Oryctolagus cuniculus: one gene and its partners. The protein of the gene in region 1 purifies or fractionates together with the protein of each later gene. This does not show direct contact. Links are inferred from orthologs where the notes say so. Each region holds a gene or a part of one and is shown in the gene's direction. Other genes may lie near its edges.

Region 1 (3,616 bases):
TTGACCTTGCTGGCCTCGGCCAGTCGGGACCGCCTGATCCACGTGCTGAACGTGGAGAAGAACTACAACCTGGAGCAGACCCTGGATGACCACTCCTCCTCCATCACGGCCATTAAGTTTGCTGGTGAGCCCCTTCCTGCCTGTCCCTGCGCTTTGTTACATGGGTTCCTTTGCTTGCAACAGCAAAAATTCCCACTAGAATTAGATGGAACAGAAGGGAGAGAAGAAAGCTCTGGGTTCCCACGTCTAGCTGAATCCAAAGGAGGAAAAAAAATATTTTAATTATCAGGTCTCTGTCTCTGAGCTATGTCTTTGGGAGCAGGATCTTGTGCCCCTGGAAAGATAATTTCCTCTCTTCCAACTTGAGGAACCTGCCCTTCCCAGAAGCAGTTACTGGTGCCAGGGCCTTGGGACCTGTCTTGGGCCACAGCTGACCCATGTGTCCCCTGTCCCCACCTACTTCCACCTCCTGACCCAGGGGACTGGCAGTCCCCAGAAGGGGACTGGGGTGCTGAGCCTGTGAGAAGATAGGATAGGCATTGGTAACCTTGGCGGGAGAACAGGTGATCACAAGGATTGCGGGGGGCTATTTCTGTGACTAGATACGGATTCTTCCTGGTTTTTTCCTTTGTGCCCCATTTTCCGGCCACAGCCGCACGCGAGCAGGTGAGGAGCCTAGGGACTTGCCTAGGGCTGTGGGCCCCTCTCTGGAGTGGCCTCTGGCCAGTCTGGAAGAATGCAGAGCTAAACCCGACTTCTGGGTGTCCATCTGTGGCTGAGCTGGCTTCCCCAGTAGAAACCAGGTGCTGCCAGTCCCAGCCTGGTTGAAGCTGCCCTGCTAAGGAATTCAGTCACTCAACCTTTCCATAGAAATAAGTGAGCACAGAATCTGTGCATAATTTACGGAGGATCACAGTGAAAGTTCACATCCAAGTTCATCATCAGGAGCTCTGGACTGGGACAGGTGCGCCCACCGTGTATAGCCAGGGACAGTTCTGATTGCCTGTGGTTTGAATGTTGTTAAATATTGGCTGCACCCACTGCAGATTAAGCAGAACATCACCCATGGGGTGCAGGCACTCCCTGGGTCACTCCCAAGTCATGCTGCCTCCCCGACACAGGGCTCACGTCCTTGTGAGTGCCAGCGACTCCTGTGTGACAGGCCGGCTTCTTTCGGATGTGCTGTGCTGAAGGCAGCTTCTGCTGTACCAAGACTCCTTCGTGTTCTTGTTCTCGTCCCCACCACAACTCTTATTCTGTAAAGAAACGAGAGCTATAGAGCAATAGGAGGTTGTGTTGTCTGCCCCATGGTGGCCCCTACCCCCAGGGCTTCGTGCAGCTCTCGGGGGCAGGGCTGTGATTAGGCCGAGCGTAGGCAGAGAGCTGAGGCTCAAGAGAAGCCCGGTTCCGAGCACAGTGGTCAAGGCTTTGACTCTGGCAGCGAAGAATGCCTGGTCCAGAGCGGAGCTTGTCCTGGCTCTCTGTGGGCCCCAGGACAGGACTCTGTCCCATGTTGATCTGTATACAGGGTGGAAGGTCAGGCTGGCGCCCGGGGCCTGATCTGAAGTTGGTGGGGATCTTCTCGATGATGTGGGCCTCCCGCCTGTCTTACCGCCCCTCTGCTGCTAGAGTCCCCTGTCTGAATGCCACGCTAGAGATGGTGTCCCTCTGTGTCACGAGCTTTGGGTCCCTCTCTGATCTTGTTCTGCAGAGGCCTGCCCTGCGGGTTGATGGCCCTTGCAGCAGAGTTCCCTAGCTAGGGCCCCCAGCCTGTGCAGCTCCCATGTCAGAGGCATTGCCTCCTCTTCCCCCAGGCCACAGAGACATCCAGATGATCAGCTGTGGGGCCGACAAGAGCATCTACTTCCGCAGTGCCCAGCAGGTAGGTGCCGTGTCCTCGAGGGTGGGGGCCGGGGGGCGTGTTGGGTGTCCTCACTTTAGTCCTGCCTACCCGCCAGGCCTCAGATGGGCTCCACTTTGTCCGTACCCACCATGTGGCAGAGAAAACCACCTTATATGACATGGACATTGACATCACCCAGAAGTACGTGGCCGTGGCCTGCCAGGACCGCAACGTGAGGTGAGGAACTGCCCTGCGCCCTTAGCTGGACCTAGCCGGGCTTCTCCTGGGCTGTCTGCTTTCCTCCCCTTGCTCATCTGACCCCGGAGAAGCTGGGAGGGGCGCAGGGACCCAGCACGTGTTTCTTAGAAGCTGAGCCCTCCCAGGCCTTGCTCCCACATCCACAGAGGGTTCCCTTCTGGTCTCCTGGGACCCGTGTGGGGTGACTCAGTCATGTGCATTCCCTAAGTCCTCTCTGGGCAGTGCGGTGTTGGGGTCACAGCTATAGCCAGGATAGTCCCCGGCCTTCCTTCATGGAGCTTATGGTCCAGAGAGTGACAACACAGGGTGATCAGGGCTGGGTCCCAGGGCTCTGGGGAGCTCCCTGACCTCTGGAGGGAGAGACATGTAGTTGAGCCCAGGGGATGTGGAGGAGCGAGCTGGGGAAGGCCAAGCGGCAGAGGGCAGAGGCATGCAGGGCTCTCTGCTGCTTCATGGCTTGTTCAAACTGGGCACAAGAGGGAGGCAGGCGTTCACTCAGTGCATCTCCCACTACAGAAGCTCCCTCACCTCACAGAGCTGGGTCTCAGTCCCTGAGACAGGGCTTCTGTCCAGGCCCCGGATGGGGGCAGGAGATAACAGGATTCCAGGGCAGAGGAACCAGGACCAGCTGGTAGGAGGGCACGGGCGGGCAGGGCCCTGTTGGCTGCATCGTGCCCCCTCCCCACCAGGGTCTACAACACCGTGAACGGGAAGCAGAAGAAGTGCTACAAGGGCTCCCAGGGTGATGAAGGATCCCTGCTGAAGGTGAGGGGTGGGAACTCCCATCCTGGGCCGCCTGCCCTGTGTCCTTAGTGCTTAAATGATCGCAGGCTGCCAGTGTCCACTTGGGCCTGGTTAGCCGAGGAAGCTGGGGATGGGGCGTGGGGGGCCCTGACTGTGGTCCCTCTATTTACTGAGCCCTGCCTCAGGCAGGGGCGTTTGGGTGGGTTCTGTTTTGAGTGGCAACAGAGTTGGAGGAAGAACCTGAGAGGCATGGACTCATCTCCGGGCCTGGCCCTGCTGGACACAAGGTGGAGGCCTCAGAGCCTCTGGCCTACTGAGTTGGTAATACCGAGTTCAGGCTCCAAGCTCAGCCCCCGCTCTGCCTCACTCTGCGTGTGATCCTGTTCAAGTGTCAACTCTGGCGCCTGTTTCATTGCCTGTAAACAGCAGATAGAAACCGCTCCTGTCCTAGGCAGTTCTGTGAAGGGGTCAAGTTCGGCCAGGTGCAGTGCTTAGCACGGGACCCTGCTACCGTCATGCTGTGGTAGTGGGGAGCAGGAGCCCCCTCCCCTGCCTGGGTGCATCGTGAGGACTCCTGGCACGATTTCCTGCGCTGGGGGTCCTGCAAAGGGCTGGGCCTCCCCCTCTGGGGTGCTGGGCTGTCTGGCCCAGGCCTCACAATAGGAAGAAGCCGAGGGGCTGAGTGACACTTGGGTCCTCTTCCCGGCAGGTCCATGTGGACCCCTCAGGCACCTTCCTGGCCACAAGCTGCTCTGACAAAAGCATCTCAGT
Region 2 (4,254 bases), on another chromosome or scaffold:
CAGGCTGTTGCGGCCAATTGGGGAGGGAACGACCGGATGGAAGACCTCTGCCTCTCCTCTCTCTGTGTAATTCTGACTTTCAAATAAATAATCTTTAAAAAAAAAAAAAAAAGACAACAACTCTGCTTAATCATAAAAACAGCAGCAAACTAGTTCATCCTCGTCAAAGACCAGTAACATCCATCTTCTTCCTCTGCAGCCTGGCTGGGCTGAACCGAGGTGTCCGTTAAGGCACCTGGTCTGCTCCCGCCTAGTAGGCCCTGGATACCTAGGGCCTAGGCACAGAGGTTCGGAGCAACTCACCCCGGAGACTCCGTTGATACTTCCCCAGAATCTCCTCCAGGGAAGAGTTCCCTGGGGACTTCGCCATGCACAGACTCTGGGCCAAGAGATGCGAGTTACGTGGGTTATCGTCCAGTGTTCTCCCTTCCAACAACAGCCCTAGCGCCCGCCCGCCTCCTGCCGCAACTGTCACTGGGGAGCCTGGAACCACGGACGCAGCTCGTGGGGTCTCTTCCCACCCTCGAGCCCTCGTGATGGACATTGGGAGTTGTAGTTCTAAGGCTCTGGCTCTACAGCCTCGAGAATCCTAAGAACCTTCCAGCTGCACTACATTTCCCAGAGGGCACTGCGCTCCTGGCGTTGGCTTCGGCGGTTTGGCTACCACAGATCGTTGCCACGAGACCGGCTTGCGGGCTCCTCCCTTTTCCTCTAAGCCAGCCTGGCTAGTCCCGCCTTCACCCTGTCCTGCAGCAGTCCGGACCACCCGGCTGACAGAAAGGACTTTCTGAAGGCCCGGACGCTTCGATCTTTACTAATATGCAATTGATCCTTCAGGCTTCTCTGGGAAGCGAATAATCTCTGAACCCTCCTTCGGTCGCGACATTTGTCAAAACGGTCCAATTCTTAAGAAATAAGAAACTCTAACTCTCCCAAACAGCCTGGCTTGTAAAGGCGGCCAACACTACAACTCCTAGCATGCCAAGCAACCCGACCTCCTCTTGCAGTTGGCGCACTGCCCGCCGGGAATTGTAGTCCTCGTTGGTTGCAGGTCCCCGCTAGAGCCAGAGTTCTCTTCATTGTTCAGGCCGGTCTTTGGGGACACGCCTGCGCAGTGGGCAGCAGGCAAGGCGTGTGAGACCCTCCGCACAACCCCCTTTCATTGTCTGTGTCTGGCGCCTGCGCAGTAAGAGATCGCTGGGACTGGGCTGGAGGAGTGGATAGGGCCCAGCACCTCGCCCTTTCCCCAGGCGCCTGCGCAGTCAGCGACCGCTCTTTGCCGTTACCGCTATGTGTGGGGCGTGTGTGGAATAACGTTATTGCCCTGCGGAACCGAGGGGCCGGGAGCTCGACCGCAGCTGCAGCGACGAAGGCAGCAGCGGCGGAGACGACGACGACGACGACGGGGTGGGGGAGAGGACGGCGTGCGAGAGACTCACGGGACGCGACGCGCCCCGCCTCCCCCGTCCGGTCCCTCTCTCTTCACGGTGAGGGGTAAGTGATGCGCTCCGCTGCCTCGGGGTGGACGCCGCCGCCGCCTCTGCTTTTCCACAGCCTGCTCGGATTTGCGCCGGGGGCTCGGGGCGCGGCCCCTGGCGTGGCGGGGGTGCAGGGAGAGCCTTCCCGGATGCTCCGCGCGGCGTTACCACCCCCATCGCCCAGGACCTGGGGCTCGGCGGGGCCGCTCCTCCCATCCCCCCATCCTTGATGGCCTCCGGTCCTCGCTCCCCACCCTCCGCCGTCGTCTGGGTCCTCCCGGGCCCGTGGCCGCGGTCTCCGCCTCCCCTAAGTGTACTGAATCGCTTGCAGCTCCCTCCCGGCTTTGTGCAACCCTCCCCCATCGTTGGAGCAGTTTGCGAGGGGTGCGGGCGGAGCATCGGAAGGAATGGCTGCGCTGCCGCTGGGGAAGGGATTTTTTTTTTTCCCCAGTGGGAGCAGCTCCCAGGGCCGAGTCTTTTTGTGTGGTTGGATTTTGGGGTATGAGGCAGTCGGGGGAGGTCAGGCGAGGGCCCTTTGCACGCGTTGGGAGGGCGTGGAAGACGCGGTGTCACGCACCCTGCCAGGCGACTGCACCCGGGGTACATCTCTAGCTGGCTGGATTGTGAACCCCGGGGAAGGGAGAGCGACTTCCTGTCGGCTTCATTGTCCTAAGATTCAAATACAGCGTTTTGGGTCCGCTTCCCTTCCATTTTCTGCGAGGGGGAGAAATACTAGCAGTGTCTTAACACCGGGCGGGAAGACGTGGGATTCGTCTCCCCAGTCGCAGCATCTCTGTTTTGTGGCGTTCGGTAGAGTTTTGATTTATTTTGTCGAAGAATGTGGGGGAAGACACGGACCGTGCTTGCCAGAGTGCACGCACTGTCAAGGTGATCAATGTAAAATTACTAGATGACGTTGAAGGCTGGGCGAGAAGGGGCCTGACAGCCGAGCGGGTGTGTAGCAGGGAAATGAACCAGGAGAATTGTTTTTTTTTTCCACTGGGTGGGTAACGCATGCATGGGTCCTAAGGGAATAGATGAAGCTACGTCTTTCCCTTTTATGTTTTAAAGCAATCCAAACAAAAATAAGGATTGGTGTATTTGTTTCTGAAGCTGTTTGCTCATTTTTATTCTCTTCATGAAAATTCAGCCGTTTGGGAGGAATTTGGTGAAGTGGATGATCCATGCGATTGAAAATGCGTCTTTTAAAATGATTTGCTTGTTAGGATTGTAATGCTTGTAACCATTTGCTGGCGTCTCTGTGTAAAATAAGCCCAAGAAAGAATGAAGTAGGCTGGGGGAGAAGATGGAGGAGTAGTGTGAGTTATATTATAAATACAGTTTCTAGATCTTTACTGATACAACCCTAATTGGGTAAACTTCAAAGCCAGGAAGAAATTCAGCTATCAAATTGTTTTGTAGTTTTCTGCCATTATTTTTTTGAAAAGTGAAAACCAGCACTGTTCTTAGTTCTTCCTAACTTCATAGATACTGTAGAATTTTGCTTTTTTTTTTTTTTAAACGGAACAGTCGCTTGAAAAAAACTAAAACTCACTGATTTGTCTGCCCAAGCCAATGTGCTAACAGAAAGCACAGTCAAATAAAACCAAGGTCTGTTCTACAGAGTGATCTTTACTGTGTGCCCTCACCTTCCACCCTGTGAACATTTATGGAAAGCTTCTGTACTTTTTAATTTGTGTGTAACAGTAAACTTAATTCTCTCACTTGTATTAATCTAGTCCTTCTTTTTGTGATGTAGAAGTAGTAATTCTACTGAAACTGAATTTTAGCTTTACAAAGTAACTTACTAATAAGGGAAGATACCCTAACAGTTCTTTTCATGAAAACAAACTGTTGGAATGTTTTCACTTCTACTTATTAGTAACCATATTTTAATATTATTTCTTGAAATTTAATAGTATTTTATAATATTATGTTCAACTGTGAACTGTTAAAAATAATATTTCTCCATACTAAAAAGCTATGAAGCTTATTTTTCTATGATTAATGAATTTTATTGTTTTCAACTTAGAGTTTCCCTTTGAGAAATGTCATCTTTCTGTTTTTAATTGGGTCGACTTTATAAAAAAAAAGGGGGTTTTATTTATGTCAACTCATAATTTCAGTTCTTTAATTCTGCATTGCATTTTAATAGATATTTTCTTTAGAATTTATTTCACTTTAATTTCAATTTAAGAAGCCTCTGTCATTAAGTTCAGTATGGGGAATCATATTGAAACTTTAAATGCATTTTGCTGGTAAATTTCATGGTGTTCCAAAATTATTTTGTATGGAAATAATCTGCATGTTTCCTGTCCTATTTATCTGTAAACATAAGCATACACTGTGTGTGTGTGCGTGTGTGTGTGTATGTATGTATGTATGTATGTATTAAGGTGCTTTTTGAAACTCTGTACTTGGTGATTTGTTTCATTTGTTCTAAGCATCAGTTTCATGTTCCTTTTACCTACCGGAAAAAAGTTTTATTGTTATATTTGATAATAATTAATGTTCATTACCAAATACTGTATGTATTTAAGGTTTTGTGAACATGTTTTTTATTCAACAGAAATCTGTTCCTGAAAAATACTTCATACTATTTTAATCAATATGTAATGATTTTTTCTTCTGTATCTTAAACATCTTGGGGTTAAATAGTGTGCTAGTGTAGTAAATATCCAACCGAAACTGTGATGTTTCATTACCAACTAAAATGTCTTTCCAGTTGGAGATTATTCTGCAGATGTAATAAGAGAGTAGTTACATATCATCTGAA
Region 3 (4,121 bases), on another chromosome or scaffold:
TTCTGACTATGCCACTCCCCCCAACCACCCCCACCCCCACTGCAGAACCTGTCAGAAAGAAAGACCTTCAGCAGGGCCAGTATGGCTGTACTAGGCGTGGGGTTTGTTATACCCACAGTATAACAAAGACCCAAATCACCCTTCACTCTGTCTAATGATGAACAGATGTTAAAATAATCTGGCACATTTCTCTTTTTAAAAAATTTACTTATTTATTTGAAAGGCAGAGTTACAGGGAGAGAGAGAGAGATCCATCTGCTGGTTCACTCCCCAGATGGTCGCAATGGCTGGAGGTGGAGCTGTGCCAGTCCGGACCTAGGGATCCGGAGCTTCTTCTGGGTCTCCCATGTGCATGCAGGGGCCCAAGCACTTGGGCCATCCTCTGCTGCTTTCCCAGGCCATTAGCAGGGAGCTGGATGCGAAGTGGAGCAGCCAGGACTCGGACAGGAGCTCATATGGGATGCCCGCATCGCAGGCAGCAGCTTTACCGCCTAAGCCACCGCGCCGGCCCCTGGCACATTTCTTTCCAGTTTTTTCCCCCTAGGTACTAGGCAGTACTGACACGGATCACTCCGTGTATGTGGGTGTCCTTGTTGCTTCTTTGTCTTTCCCAATTTGGTAACACTTCCTCGAACACATTCCTAAAACGTGCTCTATAGCACGCCTGACAGTAACGCAGGTGCCTTCCTCCTGTTGTTGGGTCTTTAAGGACCTGTCAATTTCTCTGAGGAGCTTCAGCTGTAAACCCGGCAATGCAAGGAATCCGGACTAGGTGCGTTTTCAGAAAACAAACAGGAGGCTAATAAAGGCCTTGGATTTGCCTCCGGACGCCGGGCCCCAGGCGGGTGTCCTCAGTATGCAGAGTCCAGTCGGTCACGGTAACCGGCTCCGGTCTCCCAGGTGTGCGCCCAAGTGGGTGCACCTGCTCGCCGGGTTGGTATGACCTTCCACGCCCGGGGCGAGGAGCCCTGCAGGTGCAGGCGCGCATCAGCGGACCGCCGCGGGGCAGCCGCCACCCGCCCGGGCCACGCGCCGCCACGTGCCGCCACCGGGACCCCGCCCGCACCGGCCCGCGGCCACGCCCCTCGCACGCGGCTGTCGGGCGGCGCTCCGGGGGCTCCTCCTCCTGGCGACCTCCGCGGCGGGTAGCCCCGCCCCCGGGCCGCGGCCCCGCCCCCGCAATCCGGGCCCCGGGGCGCCCCGCCCCGCGGGCCGCTCGGAGGCGCGGGGGGCGGGGCTCTGCGCGATGACGTGGGCGGGCGTGCGCGGTGACGGCCCGCGCGTCCCTGTTACTCAGCGGAGCGGCCGAGGCCGGACGACGCAGCCTGGAGCGCGGAGCCGCGAGCTGCGCTGGGTAACGGCCGCGGCGACCGCCCGGACGGCGCCCGTGCCCGCCGGCGGGCTTCCCCGTCGCTGTTCGCCGCGCTGCCGGGTGAGTGTGGCGGGCGCCGCGGCTGCCGGCGGCCCCGCCGTGTTTATGTTATTGTGCGGCCGCCGCCGCCTTCTCCTCAGCCGTGAACCCCTCCCCGGGCGTGGGGGCGGGCGCGCGCGGCGGGCGGGGGCGGCGCGGGAACAATAGCGGCCCCGGAGGCGGGGGCGGCCGCGGGGGGCGTGGGGCCGCGGGCGCCGGACGCGCGCCCCGGCTCGGCGCCCCGGGTCGGCTCGGCCCGGCCCGGCCCGGCCCGGCCCGCGCGCGCGCGTCGCTGTCGTTGCACGCCCTCCTCGCGGGGGTCCCGCTTGCGCGTCGGGAGGAGAAGATGGGGGTGGGCGGCAACTTGGGAAGCACTTGGGCGAAGGGGGCCCGGGCGGCCCGCGGCGCGCAGCCGACTCCCCGGCGCCGGGGGCCGGCGCGCTGGCGACAGGGTCCGCGCGCCCGCCCCGGCGCCCACGGGGACCGTGTGTGTGTGCGCGTGTCGCTCGGCGAGGTTCCTTTGTGCGCGGGCTTCCTAGTCGAAGGCGGCCTGGGGGAGGCCAGGCCCCGCGGCCCGTGCGTGGAGGGTGCCCCTCGATCCCGGCCCCGAGCCTGCGTGGCCAGCGCGCGTGTCCCCGCTGCGGGTCACTTCGGTGGTGACCTCTGGGCTGCTTCTCCCCACCGTGCCGTCGCTTTGTCTGCGCTGGCGTTCCCGACCCCCGGCGGGTGGTGGAAGCGAGGCCGCCTTGGACACTGTGGCGTCTTCAAGTTCCCCCTCGCGTCTGTACTGTGCGTGGATCGCCGTGTTGACCGCGCGGTAGGAGACAATGTCCGGTGGTCGCTGTTTGTAGATGCGGTGGTCTTTCCGGTGGAATTCTGGTCTGTCAGCTAAGCATCCAGTGCCTGCTTGAAGCGAGAACATCCGTGTGTGTGTGTGTGTGTGTGTGTGCGCGCGCGCGTGTGTTCCATTCATTCATTCATTCATTCATTCGGCAGCTGCTCCCTACTGCGCCCACAGGGGAGAGGTTTGCATGTAAAGGGAAGACGGCCCTCAGTGGAGGAGGAAGCCTTGGTTGCAGTGTAGCAGATGTGCCTTTAAATGAGATGGTTATATAAGCGATGCGTGTGTGGAGGTAGAGTTGTGCGCTGGGTCATTTTACTAGTTTTTAACAGAATCTCTGGAAGTTCAAGTAAAATGTTATACGAGGAGATAGTTATCTTTGATCTAAATCCACAATAGTTTTTACTTTCAAAAAATTTTTTATTTTTTTTGCCCAGTCTTCGAGCCCTGTGGTCATTTGGGATGGCTACCTCAGACCCGGCCGCCGCGGTTAACGTGAAACCCAGGAGGTCCGAGGCTGTGGTGCTGAGTCTGACTAAAGCCTGGGACTTCCTGGAGAGCAGGCCTGTCTTCCATCTGTTTCTCTTTTTCTAGCCGGGGAAATAGTAAGTGCTCAATACAACTTTTATTAACGTTCATATGGTTTGCGGAAGGTTCCTGCGATTCTCTTCCACATAGCCAAACGATCGGTTTCATATAATAGGAGATGGGTTATGGGCTTTTGAGTCACTTTGGTGTCATTCCCCCCCATCCCCCCCCACCCCCCGTCACTTCTAGGCCATCCACTATCCTAAAATAAAACCTTGTCTAAGTGTTTTCTGGTGATTCATAAAGTAAGTTGGATTGTAGGGGCCAAGGCGTGTCGTGTACGTGTACACACACACAGAGTGGTATTTTAGTAGGAGGCTGAAATGATTGCGTTTATCTTCTTGTAAGTATTGAGAGGTTTTTGACTACTTCTTTCAGTAGAAAAGCTAGAAAAAAGGATATAGACTGTGTAAATGTTTTATTAGAAATATGTAACTTCTAATAGGATTTTAGAAGCATTAATTGGAAATGTTTAACTCCTTATATTAACACTTCATGACGCATGTGGGACTAAAACTCAAAATAATACCTAATTATTCAAGTTATAGCTGTTTCCCACTCACTGCTAAGTACATTTTCACATTTGTTTTGATATGAAAGAAGTTGAGGTGAACTTACTGTTTGATGTCTAGTAGAAATGAAGAAATAATAAAGTGATACTTTATTAAAATACGGAATGATAATCTTGAGATACCAAATTTTAATTGCTTTACCAAGTTAGTCAGATGTCAGGATCCAGTAGGGCTTACTGATAAAAACCCTTTGGTCAGGCAATTTAAAGAACTAGAGTTGTGGCTGCTTTTTTTTCCCTAAATTTTTTTTTAATAGCATTCTTTACATTTAATTCACATATCATAAAATTCATCCTTTTAGAGTGTTCCATTTCAGTGTTTTTTTAGTATGTTCACAAAGTTATATATTGATCACTGCTTTTAAATTCCAGAGTATTGTCATCAGCCAGGGAAGAAACCCCATGCCTATTAGCAATCACTCAGCATTTGAAAAATGTTTTAAAGGGAGAGATGGCGCTGCTTCTGTTAACTAAATCCATGCCTTTAATGACTTTGCAAAGGGCACCTTTGAGTGTCCTGGAGGAACAGGAAACTGTCCTTCATACCTCTTCACATTGGAAAAGGACTCAGAGGAAGAGTAAATTGTATCAAAATTAATTCACCTAGAATCTTCAGTATACCCTTACTTTATATTACGGAAATGACCTGTGGTGATCCACGGTGTTTAGTGAAACAACTTGAAGTAATTTGTTATTAAATGACTAGTCAC

Evidence for each region.
Region 2: the proteins of WDR62 (region 1) and CEP170 purify together in Homo sapiens (affinity purification with mass spectrometry; 3 studies listed by BioGRID and IntAct, with this or other methods). This does not show direct contact. The link is inferred for Oryctolagus cuniculus from reciprocal best matches to the Homo sapiens genes WDR62 and CEP170.
Region 3: the proteins of WDR62 (region 1) and MAPK8 purify together in Homo sapiens (affinity purification with mass spectrometry; 5 studies listed by BioGRID and IntAct, counting the BioPlex papers as one, with this or other methods). This does not show direct contact. The link is inferred for Oryctolagus cuniculus from reciprocal best matches to the Homo sapiens genes WDR62 and MAPK8.

Annotation. Positions count from the first base shown.
Region 1 is NC_091449.1:19,661,664-19,665,279, forward strand, and holds part of WDR62 (WD repeat-containing protein 62), read left to right. Parts: coding exon 1-124; intron 125-1,814; coding exon 1,815-1,882; intron 1,883-1,958; coding exon 1,959-2,080; intron 2,081-2,790; coding exon 2,791-2,866; intron 2,867-3,554; coding exon 3,555-3,616. UniProt on the Homo sapiens protein: Required for cerebral cortical development. Plays a role in neuronal proliferation and migration.
Region 2 is NC_091444.1:63,281,627-63,285,880, reverse strand, and holds the start of CEP170 (centrosomal protein of 170 kDa), read left to right. Parts: upstream 1-1,353; 5' UTR 1,354-1,494; intron 1,495-2,042; exon of another isoform or gene 2,043-2,366; intron 2,367-4,254. Other genes in the region: SDCCAG8 (serologically defined colon cancer antigen 8), read right to left, coding at 304-544.
Region 3 is NC_091446.1:81,312,097-81,316,217, forward strand, and holds the start of MAPK8 (mitogen-activated protein kinase 8), read left to right. Parts: upstream 1-1,231; 5' UTR 1,232-1,432; intron 1,433-4,121. UniProt on the Homo sapiens protein: Serine/threonine-protein kinase involved in various processes such as cell proliferation, differentiation, migration, transformation and programmed cell death.